Linked DNA regions of Mytilus edulis. The protein of the gene in region 1 purifies or fractionates together with the protein of each later gene. This does not show direct contact. Links are inferred from orthologs where the notes say so. Each region holds a gene or a part of one and is shown in the gene's direction. Other genes may lie near its edges.

Evidence for each region.
Region 2: the proteins of eukaryotic translation initiation factor 3 subunit H-A-like (region 1) and eukaryotic translation initiation factor 4B-like purify together in Homo sapiens (affinity purification with mass spectrometry; 3 studies listed by BioGRID and IntAct, with this or other methods). This does not show direct contact. The link is inferred for Mytilus edulis from reciprocal best matches to the Homo sapiens genes EIF3H and EIF4B.

The regions. Positions count from the first base shown.
Region 1 is NC_092353.1:8,920,421-8,924,179, reverse strand, and holds the start of eukaryotic translation initiation factor 3 subunit H-A-like, read left to right. Parts: upstream 1-1,427; 5' UTR 1,428-1,502; coding exon 1,503-1,559; intron 1,560-3,243; coding exon 3,244-3,400; intron 3,401-3,759.
Region 2 is NC_092345.1:41,815,267-41,819,025, forward strand, and holds the start of eukaryotic translation initiation factor 4B-like, read left to right. Parts: upstream 1-898; 5' UTR 899-912; coding exon 913-925; intron 926-3,759. Other genes in the region: leucine zipper transcription factor-like protein 1, read right to left, coding at 662-664. UniProt on the Homo sapiens protein: Required for the binding of mRNA to ribosomes. Functions in close association with EIF4-F and EIF4-A. Binds near the 5'-terminal cap of mRNA in presence of EIF-4F and ATP.

The DNA.
Region 1 (3,759 bases):
TATTTTTCCTTCGGCCACAGACCTTCACCATAAATTGAATTGCGACCATTTAAGCATTTGTGACATGTACACTTAAATATAAATAATATGTCTTATTTGTTTTATTGAGAAAAAAACGTCAGTGAAGCTATGTCCGATCCGGTTCGTGAAATTTGAAATTTTCAGTTGTTACACATTGTTTTTAAATTCAAGAACGGTGTAATTTTGTTTGGAATTCTTTAATTTAATTTTTTTCAATAATGAAATAATAGATAGAAATTATTATTTTCAAAAATATATATATAAGGCATATAGCAAAAATGACTTAGGAAGTCAAGAAGATATACAAATAAATCGACTTGGTCGATATCCTAATAAAACTTTTGACCTTTAATTAAGAGGTTTTTTTTCCATTTCATTGCGTTTTTACACGCCCGTCAAAATTTTGACAGGACGTATTATTTTGTATACATCCGTCCGTCCATCTGTTCTTCCTTCCTTCCATCCGTCCGTTCCTCCATCTATCAGTCATTCTGTCCGTCCGTCCGTCCGTCTATCTTTCCGTCCAGCGTAAACATGTCGCACCGTAACTTGAGAACAGCTTATCTAGTTTTCATGAAACTTAACAAAGTTATTTCTTGAAATGGTCAAACGAACTATAAACCTTTTAGTAAAAATCAAATGAAATCTTATTGAGTTACAGAACTTTGTAAGTAAAACAGGAGTGTGGTTTTTTTTAACATGTCGCGCCATATCTCAAAACGATTTATCATTATTGCATCAAACTTTACACACTTCTTAGTAATATAAATCTTAACTTCTGCATCTTCCCGTATCTTTCTTTCCGTACAATGTGAACAATTTAACGAAAAATTAAACAATTTTGAGGCAAGGTTCACTCAATTCGTTATTTTGACATGCATTTTTACTTATTTCTTCGTTAATATAGAACGGTTGTAGAAAATATTGCATATCACAATAGAAAATAGTTGTATATGTATATATATTCTTCGATATCATTAAAAAATAAGAAAATAAGGAGAAACCTATCTTTCTTCTGTCTATTGATGTTCCGTCATTGTGCCGGATGTTAGATACCATCGAGTCCGATCAAATTTTGCCGGTGTGGTTTAGACACAGTGACTTAGTACACTACAATACAATGACTTAGTGTAGTGATACGTAGTAAGTACGGAACGGATGTGAGCTCTGCGCCGGAGATTGCTAGCCCAGCAGTATATTATCCCCTCAAACATGTTTTGTACAAGATCGACAGAATGAAAAAAAAACGAATTATAATTGTTCTTTTTTTTTATTTTATCGACATTTTTTTCTTTTCCAAGAAATATTGTACAACAATACATTTAAATTATTCGGTTCTATAATGGTTAACGCCACAATTTTGACACTAGTACTCAAAGGACGAAATATTATTTGGGGCGAGTTTGTGTATAGGAATAAATAAAATATGTTTTGAGATTGTCCAGAAAGCGTTTCATTAACCCGGACTCTCCTTTTCCAAGATGGCTTCCAGAAAACACACGAGTTCTCCTGTACAATATGTTCAAATTGATGGTCTTGTACGTGTTCTAATTAATAGATTTCAATAATTAGTGTATGCTCATTAAATATAACTATTTAGCTTTTCAATAAAGCTTTGAATAGGTACCTTCTAATCTGGCGACGCAATTACATTAGTCTCACATCGTTTGTAGTGCCACAGGAAATTCATGATAAATTTCTGTCAATAAATATGATAAAAGTCTGTAAATAATAAAGTCGACTATTAGAAACGCTTCTCCTCTGTTTTTTTTTCATAGACTGCTATGTATGTTACAAATCAAAATAAGCCAGGCTTCCCAGAGTGTGACATTCTATTTTGTAGCCAGTACAAATACATTTTATATTTCTGTAAATTCTGACAATGTACTTATATTGATACACCTGGCACTTAAGTGTTAGTTGTTTAAATCCAATTGGTTGCCTCTGATTATTCAAAGAAATCAACATAGTTGAAAGAGTGTATGAGCACAGGAGTTTGAAATCCTATCAATAAGGGGGTCAAAATATACCAAAGTCGACTACCACAGTAGAGCTTCTCTCTCTCTTCGAGAGAAGCTCTACTGTGATAGTCGACTTTGGTATATTTTGACCCCCTTATTGATAGGATTTCAAACTCCTGTGGTATGAGTGGCCTCCTGTCTGTTTGAGATGTGCCCCATTCAATTACACTTTATTACATAGTTAGACTCGTAACGGGTAGAAGAAGAATGCCTTTACCATCAAGCATCAAATGGTTAATATTCAAAACATTCTACTTTTAATCTCATCAAGTTTGACAGAAGTTTGACATCTTGAACTATTTCGACCATCCAATGTTGATTTCCGGTTACTAGGATCTTCTATCTTCCTTTATGACTAACTATGATATCTAATTATAACCTAATTTGCTATTCATATGCAAGAAGGTAGAAGAATCATGTTACCGGAAATCAGTGTTGATTGGTCGAAATAGTTCAATATGTCAAACAGATTCTGCCAAACTTGATTAGATTAAAAGTAGAATGTATTAAATGTTGAAAAAAGTGGATTATCTTGACATATAAAGGTTGTTGATTCTAAAAAGGCACATGAAAATGTTGAAAAAAATGTTTATCTACCAGTGTGTATTGGTACGGATATCTGACAAATTTATACAAAATAAGCGAAAAATTAGTGCAAACAAATTGTCCACGATCTCCTGTTTTGGATTGGAACTGCTTTCTGTCTCTATACATGTATATTGCACACAAAAAAAAATAGAAAATAGCAAAATCAATAAAAAGCGAATGTAAATTAGTAAATATATGCATTATAGGGACAGAAGAATTTGGTCTAGAAGAATGCACAAGAATTTGAATGACTTTTCTGATCTGATGACTGAGTTCTTTATTACGAAGTTGATATATCCTTTTGTTTCCTGCACAGATTTATAACATTCATTGGGATGTATGTGTGAGATGGACCAACTGAGAATACATTCATATATTTTACTTTGTTGCATTTTAGGGTGTATTGAAGATAGTTAAGCATTGTCAAGAACACGTTCACATACATATATTTTACTATTTTACATTTTAGGGTGTATTGAAGATAGTTAAGCATTGTCAAGAACACGTTCACATACATATATTTTACTATTTTACATTTTAGGGTGTATTGAAGATAGTTAAGCATTGTCAAGAACACGTTCACATACATATATTTTACTATGTTACATTGTAGGTTGTATTGAAGATAGTTAAACATTGTCAAGAGGAAGCAGCTGGTGGAACAGATTTGGTCCAGGGTGTCTTGTTAGGTCTAGTCGTCGACAACAAGTTGGAAATCACAAATTGCTTTCCTTTCCCCAGGCATAATGATGAAGAAGAATTTAATGAAGGTAAGTAAAGATATTTTCTGTAGTTTACCTCATAGTTCCAGTGAAAGGAGTTGTTATTATGAAGTGTCTGTGGTTGTATGTGTCTATAATTTGTATCTCTATTGTAAATGTTTGAATAAAGCTGAAGTTGAGGCCACACCAAATTAATTAATAGTTCTTTGAGATTTTACCCAAAAAAAAATGGGGCGAGCGAGCGAAATTTAAATTTATATTTTTAAATTCTTCGCCTCAAATTTTAAAGAAATATGGAGCGAGTGATATTTTTTTTCTCTCAATTTTTATATCTTTTACCTAAAAGAAGCAACTGAATTTTCTACTCACTTAATTGAAAGGGGACATAATTTGATATAATTAAATTA
Region 2 (3,759 bases), on another chromosome or scaffold:
TGTGTTTTGTTTAAACAAACCATTATCACTTTTCAATTATCCGACGGCTTGGTCAAAATGTCAACTTGTTCTCGCATTTTAATCAGTCATTCTCGATTCTTTCGATACACTCGGGATTTTACCACGTTTACGTACGTACATATAGTAAACAGGTAAAAGTAGAGCGGGGAAATGTTCATTCATGAAATATTCATGAATGAATGAAAACGTAATCTCGCGTAGATTTCTTGTGATTTTCTCTATAGCGCATGGCAGATCCGCGAAGTAGTGTTTGTAATACTCATTTTTAAAATGAAGTTAAATTCATCTGAATCGTCGGTGAATATTCATTTCTTTTTATTCAAGCTGTTATCTTTTCAGTCAATACAGTAGTTACTCAAAATTTTAAAAGAATCTTCCAAGAATCATAACTCAAACACTAGTACTACACTATCTCGGAGCAGAATATATTGCGATAATCTGTCAACCGGAAGTTTGAGGCCGACGGCTAAGGAAAGTAGCAATAGCAAGCTATAGCAAACTTTCCAAAAATTGACTGTATGACATGACCGTGACAAGACAAATTGAGCATTTAAAATGCACAGGCCTACGTCACTGTAACTTAAAGTTTATTTTTCCTCGAGTGCTAGTTTTAACTCAATATACACCGTCTTGTAATTACCATGTTTTCTGCAAAAAAAGATCGGACAGCAAGTTGTGGATTGTGGACGGATGCGACGAATGTGAAACTCCGCATCAAACGGAAGTTCGTATTAATAAAGAAAAAAGTCAATGTTATTCATCTTTTATGCATAAAACTATCAATAAATATTTTATCACAAAATTATTAAGATAAACTATCTGTCATTATAATTTATAACAAGTTTTAATTTGATCGAAATGAAAAATAAGGTTTTATTTATTCACTGCAAAATGGCGGCACAGGGTAAAGAAACATGTGCCGAGAAAAGAAAAACATTCAGACCCCTTTTTAAAGCCATAATGTCACAAACATTTCACAAATCATCCTTAAATTATCCCGTTATGCGGTGTATTTCATTAAATTTCACCGATCTTGCTCTGAAACACTGTCTGACAGTACCATGTGGTTATGAACGTTGGACGTGTCCTTTCGTTTTTTGTTGACATGTCAAACAAGATCTGCAGTCACTATAAGACTAGCATGGTTGTTTTATTGATTAATAGCCAGAAACACATTTATTTAATCTCCACTTAGACAATATGATCCAAGCACAGGGGTTTGTTACAATTGTCGGGTTTACTACCCATACGAACCCCTAAAAATGGGGTTCATACGAACCCCTAAAAATGGGGTTCGTATGGATAATTTGTAAACATTGTAATTGTAACAAACCCCTGTGATCCAAGTGTACATGGACAGTTTTGGGAAATCCCTTTAAGGGGACGATCACAGGAGATTGAAAGACTTGGCGATAAAGGTGTATAATTCTGCCAAACTCGAAAGAAGCTCTACTGTGATAGTCAAGTTAGGCACAATTATACACCTTCATTGCTAAGAATTCAATTCATGTGGTACGATCCCCATGCATTATTTGGTAGGTCTGGGTTCTATAGTTCTGCATTCCTTCCCAGAACACATTAACACCCTGTATGTTTGCTCCTTGGGTCTGTTCGCACTGTTTTTTTTTTATTAATATACCAGTTGATTTATTTTACGTCTTAATTTAACTTTACATCATTAAAATGTTATTTCGTATTGGCTCCTTAGATATAGATTTTGAGCATAAAAGTAATATATTTATATTTTCATAAATAAAATTAGATATTCATCTTCGCTAACCAAGGGTTACGATCCACTCCCGTTCTCTTCACCCTTGGCAGATTGAGCCAACATTTGTTGAATCCATGTTGCGCCATCTATCGGAAGATTAAAGTCACGCCCATTCCGAATACATTATTCTTGACCAATGGTAGCACTTGAACTCTTCATTTAGGAGGTAAAAACACGGTAGCGTCTAGATTCTACCCACTTGGTACAGCCGTAAAATATACGTCAACATTCATGCATTTGTGCATGAAACATACACAGGAACTTCTATTAGTTGATTAAAAACATTCAAGTTGTCACTAAATATAGTCGTATGCTTAGTGATGTAAAGGCTTGTTGCACAATAAACACGTGGCAATTGTTTACGATCACTTTCTACATTTACACGTGATCATGTTACAGGCGCTTATGATTGGATGCAGCGAGTTTCTACTGCAACCAATAAAAATCCTTACCTTGTGTCTCCGAAATATTATCTCAATCCGCCAAGGGTGAAGAGAACGGGAGTGGATCGTAACCCTTGGCTAGCGAAGATGTAGATATTAGGCAGCAACCATTTGATTTTCTGGAGGGGGGGGGGGGGCAGTGATCTGGAAGGATTTTTTCTCTATGGGCCCAGGGCCCCTCAAAATTAAATTCAAGGGGCCATTTTAAAAAATAATGGGCCATGTTGTCAAATGAATGGGCCATTTGAATTGACTACAGTGAAAAAAAATTAAAAAGTGTATATCTCGGCAAAGAGATGGTGGTACTTACCTTTATGATTCTAAATAATATCATGGATATTGTGCCTGTGATTTTGTTATTTCAATTTCAAAGAATGTAAAATAACTTCTTCCAAACCAGACAATATTTAAGATAACCTTTATTTACAATGTTCCTACTGGTACTGTTGTCTTGTTCATGTTCATGGTTTTATTTACATTAAATTTGGGTCTTCGTCGATACCATCCTTATTCCCGACGTTCCGTATTAAAGGACGTTTCTGGCATTTCCTCTGCACTTCTTGTATTATTATAACTTCATCACGATGACAACAATAACAGTAGAGAGTATCATAAATTGATAAAACAAAACAACAATTCGCTGAAGGCATGTTTACAAAATGTCAAGACAAGCCAAAGACCAAAAAGTGACAAGGACAGTTAGTCGCCTTTTATGGAGACAAAAACTATATTCATATAAAGGCTTTGGGGTTTTTTAGAAAAAAAAATTGTTTGTTTCCCCCTCAGATGCCACTATATGTAATGCTAAAATTAGAATAAAAAAATTGTTTTCGACTTGTCGTGAAAAAAATAGATTAGGCGGAGAAAAAAAAGTTTGTCCAGAAAAAAAATCCATAGCTCCCCCTGAAAATCTAATGGTTGCTGCCTTAGAAAAATCTCTCTTCAGATGTACAACATGTACAATGTATTTCTAAAAATGTTTAAATGAATGTCACTCAATTATTAGCTCACCTTGCCCAAAGGGCCAAGTGAGCTTTTCCCATCACTTGGCGTCCAACGTCGTGATCCGTGGTCGTCGTCCGTCGTCGTTAACTTTTACAAAAATCTTCTCCTCTGAAACTACTGGGCCAAATTTAACCAAACTTGGCCACAATCATCATTGGGGTATCTAGTTTGAAAAATGTGTGGCGTGACCCTGCCAACCAACCAAGATGGCTGCCATGGCTAAAAATAGAACATAGGGGTAAAATGCAGTTTTTGGCTTATAACTCAAAAACCAAGGCCACCCTTAAAAAATTGTTTGTTTGGCATTGCCGACCCACACTATCAGCAGGTGGGTAGGTAGGTAGGGATTTTTTTTTTTTTTTACATTTAAAAGCTTTATACATGTAAATCATGAAGTCTCTAGACCAATGTTGTCTAAAGCATTGCAGCATTGTTGTGTGTACATGCTGGTGTATTCTTTGAAAGGGGTCAACCGTCAATGTCACATTCTATATCATATGGATAATTTCATGCAAGAAA